7 linked regions of the Macaca fascicularis genome follow. The protein of the gene in region 6 purifies or fractionates together with the protein of the main gene of each other region. This does not show direct contact. Links are inferred from orthologs where the notes say so. Each region holds a gene or a part of one and is shown on either strand. Other genes may lie near its edges. The genes, in order: WAS, GIT1, WIPF1, TNIK, PAK1, NCK1 and WIPF2.

Evidence for each region.
Region 1: the proteins of NCK1 (region 6) and WAS purify together in Homo sapiens (affinity purification with western blotting; 4 studies listed by BioGRID and IntAct, with this or other methods). This does not show direct contact. The link is inferred for Macaca fascicularis from reciprocal best matches to the Homo sapiens genes NCK1 and WAS.
Region 2: the proteins of NCK1 (region 6) and GIT1 purify together in Homo sapiens (affinity purification with mass spectrometry; 4 studies listed by BioGRID and IntAct, with this or other methods). This does not show direct contact. The link is inferred for Macaca fascicularis from reciprocal best matches to the Homo sapiens genes NCK1 and GIT1.
Region 3: the proteins of NCK1 (region 6) and WIPF1 purify together in Homo sapiens (co-immunoprecipitation; 5 studies listed by BioGRID and IntAct, with this or other methods). This does not show direct contact. The link is inferred for Macaca fascicularis from reciprocal best matches to the Homo sapiens genes NCK1 and WIPF1.
Region 4: the proteins of NCK1 (region 6) and TNIK purify together in Homo sapiens (affinity purification with mass spectrometry; 3 studies listed by BioGRID and IntAct, with this or other methods). This does not show direct contact. The link is inferred for Macaca fascicularis from reciprocal best matches to the Homo sapiens genes NCK1 and TNIK.
Region 5: the proteins of NCK1 (region 6) and PAK1 purify together in Homo sapiens (affinity purification with western blotting; 8 studies listed by BioGRID and IntAct, with this or other methods). This does not show direct contact. The link is inferred for Macaca fascicularis from reciprocal best matches to the Homo sapiens genes NCK1 and PAK1.
Region 7: the proteins of NCK1 (region 6) and WIPF2 purify together in Homo sapiens (co-immunoprecipitation; 3 studies listed by BioGRID and IntAct, with this or other methods). This does not show direct contact. The link is inferred for Macaca fascicularis from reciprocal best matches to the Homo sapiens genes NCK1 and WIPF2.

Annotation. Positions count from the first base shown.
Region 1 is NC_088395.1:48,838,757-48,842,837, forward strand, and holds the start of WAS (actin nucleation-promoting factor WAS), read left to right. Parts: upstream 1-1,281; 5' UTR 1,282-1,328; coding exon 1,329-1,460; intron 1,461-1,757; coding exon 1,758-1,898; intron 1,899-3,023; coding exon 3,024-3,110; intron 3,111-3,211; coding exon 3,212-3,314; intron 3,315-3,427; coding exon 3,428-3,469; intron 3,470-3,562; coding exon 3,563-3,616; intron 3,617-4,081. UniProt on the Homo sapiens protein: Effector protein for Rho-type GTPases that regulates actin filament reorganization via its interaction with the Arp2/3 complex. Important for efficient actin polymerization. Possible regulator of lymphocyte and platelet function.
Region 2 is NC_088390.1:35,093,513-35,097,544, reverse strand, and holds the start of GIT1 (ARF GTPase-activating protein GIT1), read left to right. Parts: upstream 1-1,232; 5' UTR 1,233-1,481; coding exon 1,482-1,533; intron 1,534-4,032. UniProt on the Homo sapiens protein: GTPase-activating protein for ADP ribosylation factor family members, including ARF1.
Region 3 is NC_088386.1:70,191,357-70,195,646, reverse strand, and holds the start of WIPF1 (WAS/WASL-interacting protein family member 1), read left to right. Parts: upstream 1-1,490; 5' UTR 1,491-1,633; intron 1,634-4,290. UniProt on the Homo sapiens protein: Plays a role in the reorganization of the actin cytoskeleton. Contributes with NCK1 and GRB2 in the recruitment and activation of WASL.
Region 4 is NC_088376.1:82,933,349-82,937,448, reverse strand, and holds the start of TNIK (TRAF2 and NCK-interacting protein kinase), read left to right. Parts: upstream 1-1,300; 5' UTR 1,301-1,615; coding exon 1,616-1,672; intron 1,673-4,100. UniProt on the Homo sapiens protein: Serine/threonine kinase that acts as an essential activator of the Wnt signaling pathway. Recruited to promoters of Wnt target genes and required to activate their expression. May act by phosphorylating TCF4/TCF7L2.
Region 5 is NC_088388.1:76,214,312-76,217,695, reverse strand, and holds part of PAK1 (serine/threonine-protein kinase PAK 1), read left to right. Parts: intron 1-296; coding exon 297-434; intron 435-1,200; coding exon of another isoform or gene 1,201-1,254; exon of another isoform or gene 1,255-1,266; intron 1,267-3,384. UniProt on the Homo sapiens protein: Protein kinase involved in intracellular signaling pathways downstream of integrins and receptor-type kinases that plays an important role in cytoskeleton dynamics, in cell adhesion, migration, proliferation, apoptosis, mitosis, and in vesicle-mediated transport processes.
Region 6 is NC_088376.1:39,789,205-39,792,704, forward strand, and holds part of NCK1 (SH2/SH3 adapter protein NCK1), read left to right. Parts: intron 1-2,758; exon of another isoform or gene 2,759-2,880; intron 2,881-3,024; 5' UTR 3,025-3,042; coding exon 3,043-3,268; exon of another isoform or gene 3,269-3,500. UniProt on the Homo sapiens protein: Adapter protein which associates with tyrosine-phosphorylated growth factor receptors, such as KDR and PDGFRB, or their cellular substrates. Maintains low levels of EIF2S1 phosphorylation by promoting its dephosphorylation by PP1.
Region 7 is NC_088390.1:61,347,383-61,350,882, forward strand, and holds part of WIPF2 (WAS/WASL-interacting protein family member 2), read left to right. Parts: intron 1-92; coding exon 93-209; intron 210-2,030; coding exon 2,031-2,687; intron 2,688-3,500. UniProt on the Homo sapiens protein: Plays an active role in the formation of cell surface protrusions downstream of activated PDGFB receptors. Plays an important role in actin-microspike formation through cooperation with WASL.

The sequences.
Region 1 (4,081 bases), on a different chromosome or scaffold from region 6:
ATTAAACAAGATGTTGTTCAGGCATTCATATATGATATAAAGTTCCTTTTTTTTAAAAAAGGGATGTGCTGGGCACGGTGGCTTATGCCTGTAATCCCAGCACTTTGGGAGGCCAAGGAGGGCGGATCATGAGGTCAAGAAATCGAGACCATCCTGGCCAACATGGTGAAACCCTGTCTCTACTAAAACTACAAAAAAGTTAGCTGGGCGTGGTGGCGCGCGCCTGTAGTCCCAGTTACTCAGGAGGCTGAGGCAGGAGAATCACTTGAACCTGGGAGGCTGAGGTTACAGTGAGCTGAGATCGCGCCACTGCACTCTAGCCTGGCGACAGAGTGAGACTCCATCTCAAAAAAAAAAAAAAAAAAAAAAAAAGATGAGCAGAAAGTAATTTGGGAGCTGCAGGGAGGCAAGGGTAAGGGATGGGGAAGTGAACCAGAGGCATATGCGTCATTGGCAGTGTCTAAGCACTCAGGATAGGCGTGGATCACAGGGGCTCACTCTGTAATTAAAAGGAAAAGGGTTTTTGTTGTTGTGTTGTTGCTGTTGTTGTTGCTGTTTTTGAGACAAGAGTCTTGCTCTGTCATCATCCAGGCTGGAGTGCAGTGGTGCAATCTCAGCTCACTGCAACCTCCACTTCCCGGGTTCAAGCGATTCTCCTACCTCAGCCTCCTGAGCAGCTAGGACTACAGGTGCATGCCGCCATGCCTGGCTCATTTTTGTATTTTTTAGTGGAAATGGGGTTTTGCCATGTTGCCCAGACTGGTCTCGAACTCCTGACCTCAAGTGATCCGCTTGCCTTGGCCTCCCAAAGTGCTGGGATTACAGGTGTGAGCTACTGTCCCCAGCGAAAAGGAAAAGTTTTAGTGTAGTAACCCTTCAGGACTAGGGGCCTTGGGCTTCAGCCTCAGGCTACCTGGGTGCTTTAGGAAGGAGGCCACCCAGGCCCATGACTACTCCTTGCCACAGGGTGCCCTGCACACAGATGTGCTGCCAATGGCTAAGCTCTCACTGCCAGCCAGAGGGAAGAGGGTCTGAGCCAGTCAGAAGGAGATGGGCCTCAGACAGTAAGAAAGGAGGAGGAGGACCCAAGCTGATCCAAAAGATGGGTCTAAGCAGTCAAGTGGAGGAGGGTTCCAATCTGATGGTAGAGGGCCCAAGCTCGGCCTAACGAGGAGGAGGCCAGGCCCACCAAGGGGCCCCTGGAGGACTTGTTTCCCTTGTCCCTTGTGGTTTTTTGCACTTCCTGTTCCCTTGCTGCTCACTGCGGAAGTTCCTCTTCTTACCCTGCACCCAGAGCCTTGCCAGAGAAGACGAGGGCAGAAAGCACCATGAGTGGGGGCCCAATGGGAGGAAGGCCTGGGGGCCGGGGAGCACCAGCGGTTCAACAGAACATACCCTCCACCCTCCTCCAGGACCACGAGAACCAGCGACTCTTCGAGATGCTTGGACGAAAATGCTTGGTGAGCTGGGGATCTCCTGCCCCCGCCCCGTCCCCACCATTTCTTCCTCTTCCTCTCCTCCTTCTCTCTCTTCCCCTCCTCCCGCTCCTCCTTTCCCTCTCCATCATCTTCTCTCCTAGACTCTCCTGTTATCATCCACCCTCCCCAGGAAGATCTCAATGTCTACTTGCCTTCCCTCTGGCTGCAGCTCTTCCTTCGGGCCCATGACTGTCATGAGGCAGGAAGGACCAGGTCTGGCTCCAAGACCTTGTGGCTACCCCTGACCAGACTCCACTGACCCCTGCTTTCCCCTCCCAGACGCTGGCCACTGCAGTTGTTCAGCTGTACCTGGCACTGCCCCCTGGAGCTGAGCACTGGACCAAGGAGCATTGTGGGGCTGTGTGCTTCGTGAAGGATAACCCCCAGAAGTCCTACTTCATTCGCCTTTACGGCCTTCAGGTGACCCCCCCCCGCCCCTGACTGGACTTGCAAGCCAGTTCTCAACCCACAAACCCAGATCTGTGTCCATATGTGTCCACAGTCCCAAGATCTCAGACCTGATCAGTGAATCCCTGAGCCCCAGAACCAAAGACTCATCCAGATGGCAAACTCTGGCTTGCCTTTCTAAGTCTGCAATGGCTGGCCCCAGTCTCCATATCAAGATCTCTAAAGCCCCCAGTATTAGTCTGCTGCCTAAGCCTAATCTTTTCCACAAATTCCAATAAATGAGGACTGTATTTGTACCTGAACCTCAAATCTATTCTAAACTCAACATTTTGCATCCCAGGAATCTCTCATCAAAACTCCTGAACCCCAGATGTTTGCCAAGCTCCTAAGTCATAAATCTGTTCAACAAACCCCAAAGTTGAATATTCCATTGATCCTTGAACTCCAATTCTGTCCTTTTAAATCCACAGCACAGACCCCAGAATTCCCATATTAAAATTCCTGAACACTCAAATACCGAGGTGGTTCTTAAGCAAAAAGTCTTTTCCACAATTCCCCGACCTGAACTTTCTAGGTTTAAGCCCCAAATTCATCCTTCTAAACCCATAAAGATGGACCCAGCATAACTTCCAGATCCCAAGACTGTCAAATATTCACCAAACTCCTAAGTCATAACTCTTCTCCACAAACCCCAAATTGCACTTACTTTAGCTGGACCCTCCGCAAAACTCCCAAGTCTACGTGTCTGAACTTCAAATCTCATCTCCAACTCCCAAATACTAGAATCCTACCTGTCATGAATTGGGGCTGGGGTGGCAGGGGAGGGCATGGATTGAATCTATGAATGAGCCTCAACTTCCTAAGACTAGAGTCCTAAATTATGAAATTCAAGCTCCCAAGTCCCACATCTAGGGCCCCGAACCCCAAATCCAAACCTCTCACAAAAGTGTATGGCTCCCAGACTATACTCCACATCCACACCCTTAGATCTCAGCTCTCTGGTGCTGAGCTGGAAATCTCCAAACCAGACCATGAGGCCCCCAAATCCAGACACCCTGCTCCCTGCCCAGCTAACAAAGGCCTGCCACCCCTGGTGTGCCTCAGTGCCACTGTGCCTCCCACCCTACACCTCTCCAGGCTGGTCGGCTGCTCTGGGAACAGGAGCTGTACTCACAGCTTGTCTACTCCACCCCCACCCCCTTCTTCCACACCTTCGCTGGAGATGTAAGTGACCAACCAGCCCTCGGGCCTCACTTGGGGTGTGGAGAGGAGATGGGAAAGCTGTGGGGGGACCTGGGAGGCGGCTGACCCCAAGATATGTGCAGGACTGCCAAGCGGGGCTGAACTTTGCAGACGAGGGCGAGGCCCAGGCCTTCCGGGCCCTGGTGCAGGAGAAGATACAAAAAAGGAATCAGAGGCAAAGTGGAGGTGAGGAGGCCGCAGGGGAGGAAAGGAAGTTGGGCAGAGGTGAGTGCAAGCATGGGGAACTAGAAAAGTTATCTCTCATGGTCCTGGCTCCCAATCCATCTGTCTATCCACAGACAGACGCCAGCTACTCCCACCACCACCACCAGCCAATGAAGGTGAGAACTCTAGTGCAAGTAGCGGTAATAAGGGGCTAGCCCAGGAACCTGTGGCAGGGTTGTGATAGCTCTCTACACATTCTATCTTCCCAGAGAGAAGAGGAGGGCTTCCACCCCTGCCCCCGCACCCAGGTGGAGACCAAGGAGGTGCGTGCTGATTCTTCCCTGTGTCTCTGGATGGATGGGTGGGTAGGTGGAAGAGTGAATGGAGGAATGAGCAGTTGGATGGGTGCGTAAGTGGGTGAATGTATGGGTAGATGGATGGGTATGCGGATGGACGAGCGGGTGCATGGATGTGTGGATCGATGGATGGGTGGATGGATTGGTGGTAGATGGCTGAGTGGAGGGATGAGTTGATGGGAGGATAAAACTCTAAGTAGATAGATGCATAGGTGAATGGGTATGTGGATAAATGAATGAAAAGGTAGATGGATGACTGAGTAAATTAGTGAATGAGTGAATGAATGAACAGTGAATAAACGGCTAAATGACAAATTTCAGTCAGTGAAGAAAGCATGATTGAATGAATACAAGAGTAAATGAAAATTTTAACAAATCCATTAGTCAATGAGCCAGTGAATGATAAAGCATGAGGGAATGAAAAAAATAAAT
Region 2 (4,032 bases), on a different chromosome or scaffold from region 6:
AAAAGGCGATGGAGGCAGCTTTGCATGTATTTCGGGTGGTGTGACTCATGAGAATTACTTGTCTCCCCTAGGGAAGGAGCCTGCCCACCCACAAGTCACTGCCGCTCTGGCACCGCTGGGATAAATCGACCAACTTGAGCACCCCTGCCAAAGGACTGCCCCCATCTGTTACCGAGCAGGAGTCTCTGACTTCGATAACCCCTCCTCAATTGTCACCACTGACCTGGCCCCCAGGTCTGGCCCTGGGGACCTCTGCCCTCTCCCCACAAGCAGAGTGCCCGGGCCTTTTGCTGCTGCAGGGATTGGGGGTTGGGTGCACGCGCGGCACACGTGTATGGGGGAGCATGCTCAGTGCGGGGGCTGTGCTCATGTGAGGCCTCCAACTAGGCTCCCTGCCCCCCAGCCCACCCACGTCCCTCACCTGCCTTGCCTTTGCCTGCCTCTTCGTGTGAAGTCCAGGAAGAAAGGCTGTCACCTGAAACGGCCCCTCTGTGTTATATGCACCCTTTCTGGACGCACACACCTCTGGTGGCCCAGAAACACCGTGTGTATAAGGCGGATGACAAGTGGATTTGAGTGCACACAGGCACAGTGGTCACTCCTTGGGAGGTCTTTAAAAACCGCCCAGATTCCTCTCTGGATGGAAGCATGCATGGAGAGATAGATATATTTTTAGTCCAGAGGCAGGGGAATACACTGCCTGACCTTTCTAGCACCTGGGCGTCCATATTGTTGGCAATGAGCGTATTCAGCAAGAGTGTGACACACGCACACACACCTGGACACACAGATGTGGACACCTACAGGACCGGGAGGCACACCTCACCCCAACCAGAGATAGAAGGGTACCCCAAGGCACAGCCCCTTTGACCTGGAGCGGGACTTGGGCCTCCAAGTCCTTCCTGCCTAATCCCCGCCCTCGCCATCCCTCGGCCCAGCGTCCCCCAGGCCACCCCACGCGGAAAGTGAAGGGGAGGGGGCTGTGAGGGTGACTCACATTGCCTCCGGGCCAGGCGAGCGCCGCAGCGGAGGCCAGGACCGCAGGCCCCGCTGCCCGCCGGGGCCGGGCATTAGCCGCGGCCCCTTTAAGCGCCCCCGCCCCCTCCCGCCCGCGCCCGGGCTTCCTTTCTCCAGGGGGCGCGGCCGGGAGCGCGCGGCGGGGCGGGGGTGCGGCCCCTCCCCTGGTGGGCAGGGCCTGCGCCGCTTCCTGCAGGAGCGGCCCGGAGCCGCGCAGGGGGCGGAGAGAGGAGTCGCGAGCGGCGGCGGGGCGGCGTGGGGCGGAGGGCGCCCGAGGGCGAGCGGGCAGGCGGGCACGGCGGGTTCCGGGCCAGCCCCGGGGCGGACGGTTGGCCGGGCGCGCGGAGCCTCGCCGGGGCCTCGCCGGAGCCGGGCCGGGCAGCAGGGGCCGCCGCCGCCGCCCGGGCCCGCCGCCCGCGCCCCCCACGCTGGCCCAGAGGGCTGCGGCCGCGTCGCCGCTGAGGATGTCCCGAAAGGGGCCGCGAGCGGAGGTGTGTGCGGACTGCAGCGCCCCGGGTAAGCGCGGCGGGGCCGGGGGCGGGACCGCACAGCCAGGCCGCCGCCGGGCGGGCGCCGGGGCCTGGCGAGAGCGCCGTGCGGGGCCGGAGGGCTGGGCTGGGCTGGGCTGGGCGGGGCGGGGGGCTGCGGCCTCCGGGCTCGGCCCCCGCCCCGGCCACTGCGGAGCCGCGTCCTTGGCGGGAGGGCTGTCCTGGGGGGCCCATGCTCCCTGGAGGCCGTGGACGAGCGAAGAAGGACGTTCCCGGCGCTGCCTCCCGCCCCTCGGTCTGAGGGAGGCGGGCAGCTGGCTGCCCCTCCACCTCCATCTCTATCCGACGGAAGCGCCAGCCTGGGGTGGCAGGAGGGCAGTGGCGGAGGCCGGCAGGGCTTGGGAGGTGGGGGCGAGTGTGGTTTTGTGTCATCTCAGTGCCACCCCCGCGTCTTGCACCTGCTGCTCGCGTGGTCGGCACGCCTGCCGGGGTGGTGGAGGGCAAGGAGCAGAGGGCCGGGCAGATGCGCCAGCGGGGCCTGGATACCGTCTCCTCAGGAGCAGATGAGCAGTGGCTACTCCCAGGACTCCCTGCCGCGGGTTCCTAAGGCTAGCGCTTTTTTGCGGGGCCTGGCGTTCAGGGCCAGTTCAGACCCGGGTGTCTTATCGGGAGGCATCACCAGGCCTGCTGGTGGTGACTGGGAACAGCTCGGCTGGACCCTGCTGTTCCTATTCACCGTAAGGCCCGCTTGGGAAAGTGAGCTTGGCATCAAGCTATCCTGGGCCCCGGCCCCTCCCTGTCCCCTAGCCCAGTCTGGCGAGAAATGGGTGGGAGGCACTGCCTAGATTCCCCGCATCCTGCTGGCTTCCTAGCCTGCCTCCTGGCTGTATTTACATGGTGGTTCTCTTCTTTTTCCTAACAGAGTCAGGACTGGGCTGGAGTGAAACCCCCCAGGCCTGCTGAGGAAGTCAGGGGTAATGATCCAAGAGTCTGCTCCCTTCTGATGGGGGAGGACAGCCAGTGACTGGGCTCTGCAGCTGGCCTGGGAGGGAAGCTCTAGCCCCCATCCATTCTTTCTTTAGAAAAGGAGCTATCTCCCTAGTAGGCCCCTGGGCAGGCTTCGGAGGTCTGTGAACTCTAGCGGGGCTGTGGGCATTATTAAGAGTGAGATTATGGGGTGCTGGTTTGTGGGTCCATAACTTTCAGCCACCCCTTGAGCAAGCCCAGGACCCCACAGGTTGAGCCTCACAGATGCTCTGGTGGTTCTGGGGGTGGTGCCAAGCTAGACTGTTTGGGAACTGTGACCCAGCAGGGCTTGGGCACAAGATACTCTCCTCCTTGGGGCTTTTGGTTTAGAGGGCCCTGGGGTTGAGGGTCCATACCCCTAAGAAACTATGACTCCCTTCCCCCAGCTGCAGGCAGGTCTGGGGATGGCAGGGCTGAGGACACACCTTGCCTTATAAATGTCTGCCCACTGTTCCGCACCTCCATGGGGTGAGCATGGCATGCATGTGGAGGAGAGGCTTAGCAGGCACCCTATCGGGGAAGCCTGGGGCATAGTGTTGCCTTTGTTCCCAGCTTACTCTGTAACCCCAAAAAGACTTTCCTCACTGTGGGGGCCTCAGTTTCCTTAATTAGGAGGCAAAGAAATTGGAGTAGAAATGGTTTCTGGGGGGGCTGTGATCTGATTCTGGGGTGGAGGGGTGAAGGGCAGCACCAGCAAGGCAGCAAGGCAGTTGTCCTTTCTCTGTTGCATTGAATGTCATCCAAAGCCTCTGGATGCCCAGTGGGCTCAGGGAGGAATGGTGGGCATCAGATGTGTTGGATTGCCCAGCTCCTACTCCCAGGTCCTCATCCGTCAGAGGAATTTGTGCCCCAGATGACTCTTTTCCCCTGATACACAATAGAGGTCAGGAAGGTGGTGAGAAGGTGAGGATGGTAGGGTGGGGAGGATATGGACAGTCTTACACATCAGCCCACCTAGCACCAGCGAAGTGTCCAGCACATGGCAGGCGCTCCCTGAGTGTCTGGCTTCTTGTCGGGACCCTGGCTGGCTGCTTGGGACTATCCCACACCTGGACCCTAGGATGCTGGCCCTGGCATGCAGCGACGTGTTTGGTCTGGGTCCTGTGGCATCTCAGGCAGAGAGGCATGAGGGTACCCAGCAGTCTGGAGTCCAGATCCAGTGCCAGCCCCATGGTGTATCGCTCCACCCCAGGGTCACAGCCTTCTTTTATTGTGATAGGAGCCCTGCAGTCCCAGCCACAGGAGTGGGGCCAGGGACTTTTTGTGCTTGGTTAATTTGGGGAGTCATGGAGGTCAGAGGTGAGATGCAGCCTGCTCCCAGAGAGCCCCATCCTCCCTCTGCTCCCGGGCCTGGGCACACGGGACAAGTGCGAGTGTGTTGGTAGGCAACTGGACATGGTGTGGCTGCTCTGGCAGCTTGTGCCACCTTGTCAGGCACCGTGTGCATTCCTGCCTGCCTGGGGAGTCCAAGAGAGGAAGGGGGCAGGGAGCCCTGGAGAAT
Region 3 (4,290 bases), on a different chromosome or scaffold from region 6:
TAATTTGGCAGGTAGGGGGCTTGAGAAGTGGGGAGTGCTGATTGGCCAGGTTGGAGATGGAATCACAGGGAGTCAAAGTGAGTTTTTCTTGCTCTTTTCTGTTCCTGGGTAGAATGGGAGAACTGGTTAAGCCAGATTACCCGTCTGGGTGGTGTCGTAGTGTGATCCACTGAGTTCAGGGTCTGCAAAATATCTCAAGCACAGATCCTAGGTTTTACAATAGTAATGTTATCCCCAGGAGCAATTTGGGGGAGGTTCAGACTCTTGGAGCCAGAGGCAGCATGACCCCTAAACTGTAATTTCTAATCTTAAAGGTAATTTGTTAGTCCTGCAAAGGCAGACTGGTCCCCAGGCAAGAAACGGATCTTTTCGGGAAAGGGCTATTATCAATTTTGTTTCAGAGTCAAACCAAAAACTGAATTCTTTTCCAACGGCTACGCCCAGGAGTGAACAAGGACACTTTAAAGGTTAGAAGGAAGATAGAGCCGGTTGTACATATGATTTCTTTCACTGTCACAATTTCCTCAGTTATAATTTTGCAAAGGTGGCTTTATATTCTCACCTTTCTGCTTTTATTCAAAGGGATACACAGCCTTTATATTTTAACAATATGATCCAATGGTTATTACATTGAGCAGAACTTTTTGTTGTTATTCCTTTCAAATGCACACTCTCGGTAGCCATATCGTCTTAGTGAGTGAATGTTAACTTTTCTTTGGGGCCTGGAGGTGGCAGCTCTCAGAGCTAGTCAGAACCCCCTGATGAGCAGGAGTTAGCTTGGGCAATGGAGTAGAGCTTCAGTTTTCTCCACGTTTGCTGTGGATCCTACCGTATTTAAGGATGTGGGTGGCTGATGATAAATCCATCCCCACTGGCAGCAAAACAATTCAATTCCACCCGACTGGTGAGGAGAGGCAGCATCTTTCCCAGCACATTGTTCCCACACAGTGGGCAGGAGTCAGATGCGTGTGGACCTTGGGCCTCTGTGGGGTTCACCCAAATTTGAAATCCATTTTAAAAAATGAATTTGAATTTCAGATATATGAAAGTTTGGACCCTCTTTATTTGAGAGCAGACGGGAAAGCGTGGGAAAAGGCGTTCCTTCCGGCTCGGAGAGAGGGGACGCCCCCACCTGATCCCCCTGCCAGCAGCCGCAAGAAGGTGGAGAGGATTCAAGAGTTGGGGGAAAAGGCCCTGGGCTAGACTCCCCTTCCAGTTCCCGCTCCTCTGCAAACTCCTGTCCCAGGCGCCCTGGCCTCGGTCCCCTCGTCGCGCAGGGGAGCGGGACGGAGGAAACTGTGAACTCCAGCCCCGACCATCCGCCCCGCCGCGCTCCTCCGCGGGAAACTGCGGGCGCGGAGCCCTATTGCCGGCGGGGCAGGCGGGAGCGCGGAGGGCAGGGCGCGGACCGGCGGGGCCTCGCGGCGCGTCCACATGTGGCGGGGCGGCGGGGGGGCCGCGGCGCCGAGGGGGAGGGCCCACATCTCGGCGAAGTTCCCGGATGGTCGCAGCCTCCGGGCGCTGAGCGCTTTTCCTGCCCGCGCGGCTCAGCCCTGCGGACCCCGGGAGAAGTTTCCCAGAAAAAATGCCCAGCGCGGCGCGGGGCTGTGGAGTCGTCCGGAGCCGCTGCGCGGTAAGGGACGCGTCGCCTCTGGCGCGACCCGGGTTCCGGGCTCCCGGGCGGGGACGGGGGGGAACGCCGGGAGGGGCTGGGCTCGACGGCGGGGCTTGGAAGCGCCGCTTGGCACCGGTGACGCGGGTGGGGCGACTGGGGACGTCGAGGCCGCGTCCCCTGCGAACGGTGGGCGCGGGCGCGCGGAGGCCTGCGGCCCGCGCGTCCTGCTCCCCGCTGATGGCCCGGGGAGGAAGCGGCGGTGGACGGCCGGGGGTCCCGCGCCTAGGGCTGGGCTCACCGCTGGGCTCCGCGGACCCGGGCCGCCCCGTGGGGCTTGGGACCCACGATCTCCGTAGGTCTCGAGCAAGGGCTTCGCGGCGATGCCTTGGGGCCGCACCTACACCCCAGCTAGGACGGAGGAGGACGCTCGGGCATCCCCCGGGGCCGGCTCAAGCTCTGGCACCGCCCGCCTGCCTCTGTGGGAACCGTGCCCCTCCCGCGCTCCAGCCCGCCTCCCTCCCGGCACTCCCGGGCGGCCAGCTCGCTCCAGGTCGGCGTAGACCTTGGGGACACTTCCAGTCCCCGTCAGTGCTTTTCGCCCGGAGTGGGAACGGGGGTTGGGGGGGTGCTTCCCTCGAACTCTCCAGACAGCTTCACTTCAGTCTCGCGTCCCCTACCTTTTTCTACTATACACACTTTTCTTTTTAAAGAAAGAACTGTTAGCGTTGCGAGTGTAAGGGAAAGCAGCTGACCCAGTCGCTGTGAGCCTTTGTTAATCGCAGAGAGCTCTAACTCAGACCACTGGTGGTTGGTTAGACTTTGAGCTCTTCGCGATTAACAAAGGGTGTGGCTGTGTGAGGAACTGAGCCTGGCGAGGTCTTCTGGTCCTGCTTAAATCCCGATGGAATATTCCTTCTTCAGCCACGGTCTCCTGGCCTTATTGAGTTCTCTGGGAAACTCTCAAGTTGGCTCAGTGACCAAGTGGACTTGGTCCATTTTACTGAAAAGCGGGTGTCCGTCCTGCCCCCTGGGTCGTCTCTGGACCCCACCCTACTCCCATTCCTCCATCCCTGGCTGCGTGTAGCCCCAGACTCCAGTCTGGTGCAGCCGCAGAGCCCGTGAACAGATTCCACGCTGGGTGGGTTTTCTTTTGCCAGCTTCCCAAAGCAATGTCAAAACCATACTGTAGCTTGATCTTGAGTCGTTGGTAGATTTTTCCATCTTCAAAAATGCTAATTTTTGTAATGGATAAAATAACTCCAAGAAATGTTCTACTACAGTTTGTAAATCACCTTTTAAGTTCTTGAGGTGAGAAAACCCTTGATAGGCTATCAGCACTCTGCCTATTAATCCCTTTCCACTGCACACAACACTGCCTTCTACTGTGACTGTGTATGTCTACCTGCCTGTCATCCCCACAAGGCTGAGTTTCTCGGGGACCTGGAGGTGCTATAGTCTGCATATCCCCAGCCACCCGTGAGAGCCCATTACCTGTTGAATGGAAATATTGAAACTAAACTCTGCAGATGTTATGAAACCAGTTCAGAAATATTGTCTTCCTCCCTGGGACTTACCCAACCCCTGCCATAACTTTGGCTCCATGAAAACACGTCAACTCTTTTAGGTTGTGTGAGGTAGTGCAAAGAGATTTGTAAGCAAGATAAGATCAAATTCTGGGATATTTAAAGAGAATGAGATTATTTCCACCTGGGGGGATTCATGCCTCCTTCTATTTGTTCATTTTACAGATTGTGGTGTATTCAGCCACTTTCTGGTGCCCTTAGGCATATCATTGCAGTTTGGGCCTCACTTGTCTCATCCAAGAAATGGGCTTGATGATCTTTGCTCTATGTCCACTACAGGGTATGAGGATCAAGTAGGATAATGGGGTGTGAAGGAAGCAGCAAAAAGCAGTATGATACAAGGGCCATCCAGATACCATGCGGTGTGTAGCACTAAGACATGAAATCTATAATGAGCAGAAGGGTGGGTGGTGAAGAGAGGGTAGTATGCCCTGACCTTGTACATTTACTGTCTCAGGTGCTATGACCAGACATGAGACCCTTTTAGGAGACAGTATTCATCACTGGGTCTGTATCATTGTCTTTGCTATTTCAAGGTGTTCCTAACTATGGTTGTAATTTTAGGAACATAGGTGATTTCCACAACACATACTGAGAGAATAAATGAAACAAAAGTGCCTTTTATTTGTTGCTGTAACCCCTTTACTTTTAAGCATCTGATATTTGGCATTTTACCTCCCAGGGCTGTGGTCTTCCTGAAGCCTTCCCTTCAGTGTGGTCTACTGAATTCTTAATGGTTTCCACACAGAGCTCTCTCTGCTGCTGTTTCCCAGCAATCCACAATTATACCATGGTTCTTGAAGGCTTGGTAGGCTTATTTATCCCTTGTGGCTAGCAGGGACCCACATCGAATCAGGTCACAGTTGGAATCAAGCCAGATACTCATTGAGCATTGTGGTTCCCTGCTAGAGGTGGTAGTTATACTCTATGCTAGGTAAGGGTAGAAAGGAATATGTAGCTCAGAAAGAGACGAAGTCTGCGCCTGAATGCTTACTTTCTGGTAGATATGAGACACGGTTTCAAACAGCAGGTATGCAGGCAGAATTTGGTAAATAAGGTGAAAAAGGTACAGACCAAATACAGGGAATTCAG
Region 4 (4,100 bases), about 43 Mb from region 6:
TCGTTCATAAGCCTTATTTTGAAGCTGATCTTCAGACTGCATGATTAAGAAACCATCAGTGCACTGGTCAGAAGTACATTCTGCTGTTAGCAGAGGAGCAAAGAATGCTTTCAAAGCTACTGCTGTATTTGGAAAAAAGTTCAGTTTTAGTGTTTTCTTTGTATGTATTTTGCGTGGCTAAGGCGGGAGAAGAAGGGCTGCGCGGGGATTGGGGGAAGCGACTTCGCACTCTTCATTACAGAAAAAGGATCATGTATACCACTGTAAAACATCCAACCTTTAAATGAGAAAGTGGGTGAAGTGAAATCGCTCTCACGTACACATATTCCGCGTTACTTCTTATCCGCCAGCCAAACTTTCTCCATCAATCTGGGTAGGTCTGACACGAAAATGCAGCCTGAAAGAAATGCTGAGTCCTGAGGCGGCGTGTGTTGCCTCACCCAGTGCTGGCTTTGGAGTTACCTGAAGCCTTCTAGCTACTGCACCCAAAGAACAAGCTTCTCGGTTCAACTCGGTTGTTTCCGTGGGGAATTGCGGCACGAGCAGGTACTGGGTGTGGCGATGCCAAGAGAGCGCTCAGATCTCCCATCTTTCCCGCTTCTGGCAAACCTTCCCGGTCCCGAATCGGCGAGTGACCAGCACCCGGGACCCGCCGTCCCGCATTCCGGGGACCGCGGTTGGACCCGACCCCGCCGCAGCTGCAAACTGCCGAAGCGCCCAGCTGAGTGCACTGTGCGTGTGCGCTTCTCCCCCACTCTTTCCGCGCCTGGAGGCGGATCCCCTTCCTTGCACACAAGTCCTTATATGCACCGATTGCACCAGCCCGCTTTACTCCGGCCCCACAAATAATTAACAGGGGAGGGAGGGTGTCGCTTTTTTTTCCTCCGGCTTTTTCTCAGCGGGAGAGCATTTGAACCGAGGAGAAACCCCAAGATGAGACTGAAGGGCCATTTTGCTGCAGTGCACGAATTGGCCACACAAAAATACAGCTTGGGTCCCTATGATAAGCAAGTCAAGGTTCAGGAACAGCCCTTCGGATTTGGCCCCAGGAGCCCTCAAAAGCCTGGGCGGAAAGGGTGCGCGCCCCTCCCCCCTCCACGCTGGCGGGGAGGGACCGGGTCAGGAAGCGCGGCCTCTCCCCAGTCCAAGACCACGCCTCCTCCGCCTCCCCCCCACCCCCTTCACTCCTCCCAGGAAGCGGTGATAGACAGTTCTGTGTGGTTCTCCACCCCCACCCTCCCCCCGCTGAGTGGAGGAGTTGATGTGTCTCATTATAACAGCCAATGCAGCCGCCATCCACGCACAAGCAAAGAAGCATGTCCCATTTAAATACACCCACGCAGCCCCAGCGCCCTTAGCCGATCGGGGCGCTCAGCCCACACGCACCGCTGCTCCGGGCTTGGAGATCCGCGCAGGTTGGGCTCCCGGACCCGGCGGACCGACGCGCGGAGGATCGGGATCCGGCGCTGTGGGGCTGGGGTGGGCGGGGGAGGCTGGGCCCGGGGCCTCTGGCGCGATACCCGCATGAGGACGCGAGTGAAATAGACCAAGGTGGAATTTCCAAGGGAAAAGCTTGGGGGTGGTTTTGGTCCATTTCTCCAGCGAAGAAGTAGACATGGCGAGCGACTCCCCGGCTCGAAGCCTGGATGAAATAGATCTCTCGGCTCTGAGGGTGAGCAGGACATGTTTTCTGGTTTCTTTCCAGTGGTTTGGGTCAGGGTGAATGGGCTCGGTGCGTGGACTGGGGGCAGGGGCTGGGGCTGGGGGACAGCAGCGGGAGAATGCGTCGGGGAGGGAACCTGGATTCCCGTTTTGATTCGGGGTTGCTGAGGTGCTCCCGGCTGAGCCCCTACGGCAGGGGCTGTGCGGTACGTGTCTTCCTTTGGCCGTGGCCGAGGCTCTCCCGAGGGCTCGTGGAGCTCGTGGAGCTTATGCTTTCATCTTATACCGGTGTAAGAGCAGTAAAATGAAAGGTGTGTGTGTGTGTTGGTGTGTACGTGTGTACACGCCCCGGGCAGTTGTCTGGTGCCAAGGAGCGAGACCCAACTGTCCCTTCTGCAAAAAGAATGCCAGCGTGAATAAAGGCACTGGCTCCTCACGTTTTCCAGCTACCTGCAAGATGACATTGTGAGGCTGACTGTCCCCGCGAAGCCGAACCTGCCGCTCCAAGGGGGCAGTTATTGCTATGCTTGTCTTGTAGATGGCAACTGTCTCCCCCTCCCCCTTTTCTGCCTCCCGCACCCGGGCGCCCTCTCAGCGCTCCCTTAAATGCCAGTCTGCCACTCACCTTTATTTATGGCTTTAACTCAGCCCTGCCTGTGCTTTCTGACTTTGTGGCTGTAACGTTTCAGTTTTATGGCTGAACTTAAGCAGGTGAAAGGGATGTGTTTTCTGCTTTTCCTCAATCAGACCGGAACTCCCTGGAGTGTGTGCGAGTGTGTGTGTGTGTGTATGTGTGTTTTCCCCGTGTCTGTGGCCGGTCCTTTGTAGAGCACCTCCCTCCCCCCAGCCCCACTGGTTTGCGTTTACCTTCACGTGAATTACCTCAGACGCCGTTTCATTGTATTGACTAAGACATCACTGATACAGAATCCATTTTGCTGTTGTTTTGAGATCAGAATACCAGGAATCCCAGTGCTGCCTTGACGCTTCCCCACCCCCAACTCCCGATCCCAACACACTCCTTCGGGGAAGGGGGCAGAGCTTTCTTGTCATTTTAATTAGATGCTGCCTGCTGGGAAGGGGTGAGGGGTGGGGATGGTGGCAGCAGCGGGTGTCTGAGAAGGATTGGACACCAATTTAAGGACTGCTTCTTCCTCTCCCGAACCAAAAATAAAATTTAAAAAATAGCGAGTGCATGTACTTGATGTATGGAGGGTGGATGAGAAGGAATTGATGGTGGCTTTCTACAGGGAGACACCAGGATGGATGAAGTATGGAAGTTCACACGCCCTCCTGAGGAATACATTGTTAGATTGATGCTGAATCTTGGGGCCATTTACCTGGATTCCTAGTACTTCTGACATTGCCTCTTTCTGTACTGTTATATTAAAGTGCTACCTTTGTGATCAAAGTGGTACTTTCTCTTTGGTCTCCTTAATTAAACCTTTTCCTCCACATCTCTTTTAATAACGCTTTCTCTCTTCGTCTTAATCTGTTGGGCCAAGAGGTGAGGCTTCAGCAAGGCAGGTAAGGAGTTGAGAAGAAACAGAGATGCCGTTTGAAATGGGCTGTTCTGATAGTTGGGCAGCCGAAGCTCCTTCATGCATTATTACAGGAAGCTGTCTATTTCCCTGGAGTGGAAATGCCACATCAAGAACCGGCTGCCCCCTGCGCAGCGGGGTGGGGTTGGTAACAGGGTGGGTGCATTGGCCAGGTCTGTGGCTTCCTGCTTTACCGACTGTGTGTGTTCATTTGCCCTACTTTCTGCGCTGGGAGTTGCTGCCGGCGGGTTAATCAGGTGGATGGATGGCCCAGACTGGGGGTGGGGTGCTGCGAGTCGGTCGGGGGTCGGGGTGGCGGAGGCGGGGGGCAGTGGCAAAGGGGGAAAGGTTCTGAACAATGTGCAGGGTTTGCGGTGATTTCCCTGGGCCGGAATCTCCACCTTGCTCCTCTACTGGAAAGCAGTCTGATGTGATTTTTAAGTTGGGCCCGGACTTGTCCCTTGTGGGCTTTTTCCTCGGGAAGGTTTTCTGAGATACCAAGCACAGAGCCTGCAGGCACGAGAGCAACCGCTGAGGGCCACCGGGCGGATGACTGCGGATCACACTTGGGGTGTGCATTCTTGTGATCTGTATTTTGAAAACATATCTTTGCACAATGCACTGAAATTGCTCTTTGTGGCCTGGGCTATCAGCTTAGGGCTCTGCTGCTGTTTTTCTGCCTGCTGGGAGGTGTGGAAACAGAGAGGGCAACAGCTAGCTTGGGGACCAGGAACTGCTGGCTAGAAGACTTAGATGCAGATGCAGATGTGGAGACAGTTGCAGATGTGGGGCCAGGGTCTTTGACCAGTCTTGTGGGTGAGGTGTGCCTGCTGGAGTGGGTCCAAAGGCCACATAGGTAATCTCCACAAATCAGAGGGCAGATCATCTCCACCTTCC
Region 5 (3,384 bases), on a different chromosome or scaffold from region 6:
TGTAACATATTTCGTAAGTTTACAAAGTACTTTCAAATACACTATCTTATTTTTACAGATATGTGAGATGGGCATTATCATCATCCTTACTTTACAGATAGGGAAGTTGCACATAGTCTCATGGCCTTTAAATGTTCAGCCTGATCCTTAGGTCATACTCTTTCCAGTATATATACACAGCTGCTACTTTGCATCCTAGAGCATAAAGCAGCTGACCATATTTCTAGAATGTGTATATGGAGAACAAGAGAGAGCCTCAGTTGGAGTTCAAGGTGATTCACCATTTTTATTGCCAGGCCTTGTACCTCATTGCCACCAATGGGACCCCAGAACTTCAGAACCCAGAGAAGCTGTCAGCTATCTTCCGGGACTTTCTGAACCGCTGTCTTGAGATGGATGTGGAGAAGAGAGGTTCAGCTAAAGAGCTGCTGCAGGTAACTGTCCCTGTGCAGGGAAGCACCTAATTCAGGGAATCACTAAACCAGGCCTTTTTTACTTCATGTTTGTCTGTAAGGTACTGGATATTATAGAACTAGGCTTCTCTTTTACCATTTCCTACCCTCACTCTGTTCCTACTGCTCTAACTTTTATCCCTGGGGCTTTGCTTATTTATTTTCTTAGCCTCTTTCTTGGCCTGTTAAAACTCTACACATTCTCCTAGGCTCAGTTTACAATCATTTTCTGAGCACCTATTGAGCTTTGCTTGTAGCTTCCTTCCTTCCTTCCTTCCTTCCTTCCTTCCTTCCTTCCTTCCTTCCTTCCTTCCTTCCTTCCTTCCTTCCTCCCTCCCTCCCTCCCTCCCTCCCTTCCTCCCATCCTCCCTTCCTCCCTCCCTCCCTCCCTCCCTCCCTTCCTCCCTTCCTCCCTTCCTCCCTCCTTCCTTTTCCTTTCCTTTCTTTCCTTTCTTTCTTTTCTTCTTCCTTTCCCTTTCTTTTCTTTCCTTTTCCTTCCTTTCCCTTTCCTTCCTTCCTTTCCTTTCCTTTCCTTTCCTTTCCTTTCCTTTCCTTTCCTTTCCTTTCCTTTCCTTTCCTTTCCTTTCCTTTCCTTTCCTTTCCTTTCCTTTCCTTTCCTTTCCTCTCCCTCTCCCTCCCCCTCCCCCTCCCCTTTCCCTTCCCGCCTCCCTTACTCTCACCTCCCCACAGGGTCTCACTCTGTCACCCGGGCAGGAGTGTACAATGGTGTGATTTTGTCTCACTGCAGTTTTCCTCTCCTGGGTTCACTCAAGTGATCTTCCCACCTCAGCCTCCCAAGTAGCTGGGACTACAGGTACATGCCACCATACCGGGCTAATTTTTTAAAAAGTTTTTTGTAGAGACGCGGTTTTGCTGTGTTAGCTAGGCTGGTCTCAAATTCCTGGGTTCAAGCGATGTGACCACCTCGGTTTCCCAAAGTGCTGGGACTACAGTTATGAGCCACCATGCCCGGCCTGCTTGTATCTTTCATTAGCACATCCTTTGTTCTGTTTGAATTAGTCTGGCAGAGTTTGTTTGAGTCTTGTTGAGAAATGGCTCTCTGACATCCAAATCTTACGCAAGTTATATTTTTGCTGGGATTAGCTCAAAGGATACATTTTTAGCAAAGGAACATACGTTTATTTTATTTTATTTATGTTTTATTTTTTGAGACAGGATCTCTGTCTGTTGCCCAGGCTGGAGTGCAGTGGTGCAGTCATGGCTCACTGCAGCCCCAGCCTCCCCAGGTTCTGCTGATCCTCCCACTTTAGCCTCCAGAGTAGGTGGGACTACAAGCGTGCACCACCATACCTGCCTAATTTTTATATTTTCTGTAAAGACAGGGTTTTGCCATGTTGCTCAGGCTGGGCTCAAACGATCTGCCCGCTATAGCCTCCCAAAGTGTGGAATTACAGGCATGGCATGAGCCACCATGCCCATCCATGGAACATAAGTTTAGAAGATAATTAGTGAGTATGGCTTTTGGAGTCTATACTTTCTTCACTGGAAATCCTCAGATAATGGCAATGATACTCTACTTGTTGAGAGTGAGATTTTGCCAGTTTGTGGAGAAACCCGGAGTCAGGGGTTTACCAGGCCTTTTATACTCCCACCCCCCTAATCCTGATAATTTTACATGGTTGAAAAAATTGCCTTTAGCAGGCCACGTCATTTGTATTTAACATATTTGTTTCCAGTACAATTTCTTATAACAAGTGTTCTTTTATTGTATTGCCCACTAGTGATTTAATAGTAAGTATCATGTGCAACTTTATGAAGGCATGCACTGTCATTTATTTTCGTATTATAAAGCCCAGGAGTGACAGAGCAGGGCAGGGCAGGGCAGGACCTAGCATACTGCCCTGTGTTAATTATGAATCTTTCCTACTGGATTATAACCTCTATTTTATTAATCCCTGAGTTTCTTGTTTTACCTAGAACCTGACTTAGGATAGGTACTCAAAAAATATTTATTGAATTGAATGAAATTGCTGGAAGAACCTACATTGGAATATCATCCTCTGGAACATATTTATCATCTCTTTGTAATTGAGGTTACTGATTATGGAGTACTGGCCTATTAGATATGAGATCTGGGTTCTGCCAAGTGTAACCCATTAGTCTCTAGTATCTGTTGGGACTAAAAGTCTCTTAGTACAATGTAGGACCCCTTTTGCTGTTCATGAGAGTTGTATTCTGCAAACTGTAGGCACTGGGAAATGTGTAAATACGATATGCTAAGCCTATGATTAGTAAAGATACCATTCTTAATTAAGTACCAAACTATAGTTCTTGAAAGGTTAGTGCCCTCTAAAGTTTTCTTCCTGATACAGTAATATAACTAGTAATAAATGCATTATATTGAATCTTTACCATATTTTAGGCACTAAACACTTTATATATTTAGGCACTAATAAGCACTTTATATATTGTCCTTCACAACAACTCTATGAGTTATAGGTTCTGTTATTCTCATTTTTACAGATGAGGAAACTGAGGTTTCAAGTATTTAGTAACTTTTCCATGATAGCTGATATGTGGCAGATCCAGGATTTCAGCCTGTTTGGCTCCGAAGTGTGTATGCTCTTGGCCACTGCTCTTACAGGCTCAAAGAGTATCACAACTGGAAAGCCCTTAGGGCTCATCTAGTCTGTTTTGTTTATTAGACAGAGAAGGAAACTGAGGCCTTCCAGTTCGGTGTTGGATCATGCTGCTCTCAACTTAGGGGAATTGTAGAAACATGTGATCTGAGAAAGCTGGCTTTTTAACTTGTTCGTGTACATTGTAAATATTGAAAACCATGACTTTGAGAATCGTAAATCATAAAAGCTTCACATCTGTTTCTCCTGTGAGAACACACTTATGGACAGAAATACATAGGATGATATATATTGGAATTCCTATCTTCATGATTTAGCTAGGATCTTTTATT
Region 6 (3,500 bases):
ACCAAAAATTAGGGGGATAGCTGAACCAACCACAAGTCATAATATTGATAAAGTTGGGTGATAGGTATAGGGTTCATTATACTATTGCTCTCTTCTGTATATGTTGAAAAGTGCCATAACTAAAAGACTTAAAAGCATTATATAAATTTTTAGTTATTATACCAGTAATGTAGAATGCTATTTTTGTACATTCTGGGGAGCACTAGATAATATTGGTGATACTTTTGTCACCCTGATAAAGTATGGTATTTCAGTTTAGTTTTCATTTCTTTAATTATAAAGATATTCAGGATATTTTGAATACTTTTTGACTATTTGTGTTTTCTCTTTCAGTTTTTACTTTAATAAAACTTTTTATTTTGAGATCATTATAGATCCACATGCAATTCTGAAAACTTTAGAACTTATTGTGAAATCCAGTGTTTGTTTTCCTCCACTGGTAATACATCTGGCAGAAGTATAGTACAATATCACAAGAATATTACAAAATTTCTTCATGTTGCCCTTTTATAGCCATACTTACTTCCCTCCTGTTCCCACTACCCCGTTAACCCTGGCAACTACTAATCTGTTTCTAATTTCCATATTTTGTCATTTTGAGGGTTTTATATAAATGGAGTCATATAGTTAACCTTTGAGATTGGCTTTTTTCACTGAGCAATTATAATTCCCTGGAGATTCATTCAGGTTTTGTGCATCAGTTGTTCCTTTTTGGTATGAACGTACCAGTTTAATTATTTGCCTGTTGAAGGACATCTGGGTGGTTTCTGGTGTTTGACTGTTAGAAATAAAGTTGCTGTTATTCATGTAAAATGTAAACATAAGTCTTCATTTCTCTGGGATAAATACCCAGGAGTACAGTTGCTGGGTTATATGGTAGTTGCATGTTTAGTTTTACGAGAAGCTGTTAGACAATTTTGCAGAGTATCTGTACCATTTTACACTCTCATCGGCAGTGTATGAGTGATCCAATTTTAGCTTACCCTTGTCAGCATTTGGTATTACCACTCTTAGCCATTCTGACAAGTGTGTGTAGTGACATCTCAATGTGGTTTTAATTTGCATTTCCTTAATACCTAATGATGATGATTACCTTTTCATCTGCTTATTTGCCATCTGTAAATCTTCAGTGAATGGCTCTTTGTGTTTTTTTGCTCATTTTCTAGTTGGATTTGTTTTTCTAATGTTTCTTTAACTTTTCTAACTGCTTAAGATAGATACTCAGTTCATTAATTTATTTTTAGCTCTTTTTAAATTTTGTTTTTTTATTTTATTTTTATTATTATTTTTTGAGACGGAGTCTCGCTCTGCTGCCCAGGCTGGAGTGCAGTGGCGCGATCTTGGCTCACTGCAAGCCCCGCCTCCTGGGTTTAAACCATTCTCCTGCCTCAGCCTCCCAAGTAGCTGGGTCTACAGGCACCTGCCACCACACCCGGCTGATTTTTTTTGTATTTTTAGTAGAGACAGGGTTTCACCGTGTTAGCCAGGATGGTGTCAATCTCCTCACCTTGTGATCCACCCACCTCAGCCTCCCAAAGTGCTGGGATTACAGGCATGAGCCACTGCGCCCGGCCACTCTTTTTATTTTTTAATGTTACTATTTAAAACTGAAAATCTGTCTATATACACTCCTCTTGCTGTATACCACAGGGTTAGATGTATAGTTTTTAAAATTATTTACTTCTAAGTATTTTTAAAATTCAATATGATTTCTTCTTAGATTCATTAGTTTTTAGAAGTTTCCAAATGTGGTATTTCAAAAGTTATCTTTTTGTTATGGTTGTTGGAGAATGTGGTTGTAGGATACCAGTTACATGAACGTTGAGACATTCTTTATGGCCTGGCATTTGATTAATTTTTGTATGTGTTTCATTTGTATTCTGTTTGGAAGCAATATTCTGTATATTAACCAGTAAGTCTGTAAATCAGACTTACTGGTTGTGATATCGGTTCTTCTCTAGCCTTAATAGTGTATTTATTTAGTTAGTTAGTTAGTCAGTTAGTTAGTCAGTTAGTTAGTTAGTTTTTTCAGACTGAGTTTGGCTCTGTCGCCCAGGCCTGGAGTGCAGTGGCACGATCTCAGCTAACTACAACCTCTGCCTCCTGGGTTCAAGGGATTCTCCTGCCTCAGCCTCCCGAGTAGCTGAGATTACAGGTGCCCGCCACCATGCCCAGCTAATTTTTTGTACCTTTAGTAGAGATGGGGTTTCACCATGTTGGCCAGGCTAGTCTTGAATTCCTGACCTCAGGTGATCCACCCCCCTTGGCCTCCCAAAGTGCTGGGATTACAGGCGTGAGCCACCAGGCCCGGCTGTTTTTACTTCCTTGATTGTTTTATTACTCTGATAATATGTTAAAAATTGTCCTCTGTGGTAATGGTTTTGTCAGTTTCTCCTTGTGGTTCTCTCAACATATTTTGGAACTATCTTGTTAGGTACATAAAAGTTTAGATATTACATACATTGAGTAGAATATTTTTCATTGGGTAGTGAACTTTTTTGCTAGTAATAGTTTTTGCCCTTAAAGTTTTGTTTGATACTAATAGAGCAGCACCAGTCTCTTTATTGATTGGTTGGTTGATTGATTGAGACAGATTCTCCCTCTGCTGCCAGGCTGGAGTGCAGTGGTGCGATCTTGACTCACTGCAACCTTCGCCTCCCAGATTCAAGCAATTCCCATGCCTCAGCCTCCTGAGTAGCTGGGACTGCGGGCGTGCACCATCACGCACAGCTAATTTTTGTATTTTAGTACAGATGAGGTTTCACCATGTTGGCCAAGCTGGTCTCAAACTCGACCTCAAGTGATCTGCCTGCCTTGGCCTCCTAAAGTCCTGGGATTACGGGCATGAGCCACCGTGCATGGCCACACCAGTCTCTTTAAGTTAGTATTTGCCTCATGTATTTTATTCCATGTTTTTTACTTTTCATCTTTATGTCTTTAGATTTTTAGATGTGTCTCTTTTGAAAAGCATGTGAACTAATACTACTTCAACCTTACATAAAAATATTTTCCGTGTGTTTACAGTGCTGAAGCTGCTGAAAGATGGCAGAAGAAGTGGTGGTAGTAGCCAAATTTGATTATGTGGCCCAACAAGAACAAGAGTTGGATATCAAGAAAAATGAGAGATTATGGCTTCTGGATGATTCTAAGTCCTGGTGGCGAGTTCGAAATTCCATGAATAAAACAGGTTTTGTGCCTTCTAACTATGTGGAAAGGAAAAATAGTGCTCGGAAAGCATCTATTGTAAAAAACCTAAAAGATACCTTAGGTAAGATATTTTTTATTAAAAGAAAAGCAGCTTTGTTTTAAATGAAACCTGGAACTTAGTTCTTTGTACATAATTCTGGCAGCAGTGTGCATAATTGACTTGAAAAGGCAAGGACTAGGTAAGTTTGACTCATAGCAGGTGTTCAATGCAGAAGACCAGTGAAGGTCATAAGTGTTAACATGCAGTTTCTGTAAATCTAGGCCCACACTCCAAGTCAAGGCAGAGTAGTGCC
Region 7 (3,500 bases), on a different chromosome or scaffold from region 6:
TAGCCCAGACAGAGGAGGGGTTTCCCCTCATGATTGACTTGGTCATCAGCTGAGAGCATGTGAAATGAAAACCCTACTGGTATGCTTTCCAGAGCCCAAAGGAAGCAGTGGTGGCTATGGCTCTGGAGGAGCTGCCCTGCAGCCCAAGGGAGGTCTGTTCCAAGGAGGAGTGCCGAAGCTTCGACCTGTGGGAGCCAAGGACGGTTCAGGTATCTGATGAGTACTTTCCCAGGATATTTCCCTGGTGTGTTAATTTCTGATGTCCCAAGTGGGCCATCTCAAGTTGAGGAGTGTGGTAAAGGTCGGGGGCAGAAAGACTTGGGAGCAGGGGAGGAGTTATACAGTAGAATACAGCAAAAGCTGAGGGATTAAATGAAAGCGGATGCAATTTAGATAAAGAAAATGTGGTATATATACACTAGAATACTATTTAGCCTTAGAAAAGAAGGAAACTTCTGTCATTTCTGATAATACGGATGAACTTGGAGGAAATTATACTAAGTGAAATAAGCCAGGTACAAAAACACAAATACTGCATGATCTCATTTATATGTGGGATCTGAAACAGTTGAACTCATTCATAGAAGTAGAGAGTGAAACGTTGGTTACTAGAGGCTGAGGGCAGTAGGTGTTGGGATGGAGAAAGGGGAGATGTTGGTCAAAGGGTACAAAGTTTCAGTTAGACAGGAGGGATAAGTTTTAGTGATCTATTGCAGCAGTCCCCAGTCTTTTAGGCACCAGGAACTGGTTTCATGGAAGACAATTTTTCCATGGATGGTGGTCGGGGATGGTTTCGGGATGAAACTGTTCCACCTTAGATCATCAGGCGTTAGTTAGATTCTCATAAGGGGCATGCAACCTAGATCCCTCACATGGGCGGTTCACAGTGGAGTTCGCCCTCCTATGAGAATCTAATGCTGCTGCTCTTCTGACAGGAGGCGGAGCTCAGGCGGTAATGCTTGCTCTCTCACCTTCTGTGTGCCCCGTTCCTAACAGGTCACTGACCTGTACAGGTGCGTGGCCCCAGGGGTATAATCAGACGACCCCTGATTATACTTGATGTATATTTGAAAATTGCTAAAAGAGTTTTATTTTATTTATTCTTTTCTTTTTTTTCCTCCTGAGATGGAGTCTTGCTCTGGCCCAGCCTGGAGTGCAGTGGCGCCATCTTGGCTCACTGCAACTTCCCCCTCCTGGGTTCAAGCCATTCTCCTGCCTCAGCCTCCCAAGTAGGTGGGATTACAGGCACAGGCCACCACACCTGGCTAATTTTTGTAGTTTTAGTAGAGATGGGGTTTCGCCATGTTGGCCAGGCTGGTCTCAAACTTCTGACCTCAAGTGATCCACCTGCCTTGGCCTCCCAAAGTGCTGGGATTACAGGCATGAGCCACTGCGCCTGTTGTAGAGTAGATTTTAAGTGTTTTCACCATAAAAAGAAAAATAGGTGATGGATATGTTAGTTTGATTTAATCATTCCACAATGTATACATATAACAAGGCATTGTATCCCATAAATACATAAAATCATTACTTGTCAAAAATAAAGTAAAATTTAAAAATAAATAACAATTTATCCTGAGCCTGAAACCATATTAAAACCTAGAACTAGGCCGGACGTGGTGGCTCACGCCTGTAATCCCAGCACTTTGGGAGGCCGAGGTGGGTGGATCACCTGAGATTAGGATTTTGAGACCAGCCTGGCCAACATGGGGAAACCCCATCTCTACTAAAAATACAAAAATTAGCCGGGTGTGGTGGTGCGCGCCTGTAATCCCAGCTACTCAGGGGTCTGAGGCAGGAGAATCACTTGAACCCATGAGGCAGAGGTTGCGGTGAGCTGAGATCATGCCATTACACTCCAGCCTGGGCAACAACAGCAAAACTTTGTCACACACACAAAAAAGCAAAAACCCAGAACTATGCAAGTCCTTTCCCTGCTACCATGCAGGTTGCACTAAGGAGCTGAGTCAAGTAGAGATACTGACCAGTATCTGTCTAGCTCTGTTGACCCCGTGTTTGTGTATTTGTAGAGAACCTAGCTGGTAAGCCGGCCCTGCAAGTCCCCAGTTCTCGAGCTGCTGCCCCAAGGCCTCCAGTATCTGCAGCCAGCGGGCGTCCTCAGGATGATACAGACAGCAGCCGGGCCTCACTCCCAGAACTGCCCCGGATGCAGAGACCCTCTTTACCGGACCTCTCTCGGCCTAATACCACCAGCAGTACGGGCATGAAGCACAGCTCCTCTGCCCCTCCCCCGCCACCCCCAGGGCGGCGTGCCAACGCACCCCCCACACCTCTGCCTATGCACAGCAACAAAGCGCCCGCCTACAACAGAGAGAAACCCTTGCCGCCGACGCCTGGACAGAGGCTTCACCCTGGTCGAGAGGGACCTCCTGCTCCACCCCCAGTCAAACCACCTCCTTCCCCTGTGAATATCAGAACGGGACCAAGTGGCCAGTCTCTGGCTCCTCCTCCTCCGCCTTACCGCCAGCCTCCTGGGGTCCCCAATGGACCCTCTAGCCCCACTAATGAGTCAGCCCCTGAGCTGCCACAGAGACACAATTCTTTGCATAGGAAGACACCAGGGCCTGTCAGAGGCCTAGCACCTCCTCCGCCCACCTCAGCCTCCTCCTCTTTACTGAGTAATAGGCCACCTCCCCCAGCCCGAGACCCTCCCAGTCGGGGAGCAGGTAAGTGCTTGGAAGCACCTTTTTCCCTATCGTGCTGTGAATTGATTTTATCTTTTCCCCAGAGCACTGCTTGAAGACAGTAATTCATTTATTCATTCAATGGGTTTATTGAGTACCTTTTTATGCGTCAGATCTGTTGGTAGGGAAATAGCAATAAATAGAAAAGACAAAAAGTTCTTGTTTTGGACAGTCAAACTAGTAAAATATATAAATACATAGTATGTAGTATGCTTTAGAGAATTACAAAGCAGAGGAGAGGAATAAGATGTACTGGGGCGGAGGTCGGATGATGATAAATTGGAGCAGTAGGGAGAGAGTCAAGACAGTCCTTACTGATAAGGTGAAAATTTGACAAAGACCTGAAGAAAGTGACGAGTAAGCTTACTAGTTATCTAGGAGAACAGCTGTTGCAGGCAGTGGGAACAACAAATGTAGAGGACATAAGGTAGAAGTATTCTTGAAACATTTTGGGGACAGCAAGAGGGCCTTTGTGGCAAGACTAGAAAGACTGAGGGAGGGAAGAGTGGTAGGACTTAGAGGTTGGAAAGCTGGAGCTGCAGGGGAGAACACTGCAGGACTTTGCAAAGACCTTGAATTTAACTTTGTGAGATGGGAAGCCACTGGAGAGTTTTAAACAGAGAAGTAGTATGATTTGACTCACCTTTTAAAAAGATCACTAGCACCTATGTTGATAACAGACTGCAGTAGGACAAAGGTGACAAAAAGAGACCAGTTACTGGGCTGTTGCAGTAAATGGCCAGATGGTTAGGAGTACTGCGAATTTGTGGGAAGATAGGTGTTTGGTTTGAGACA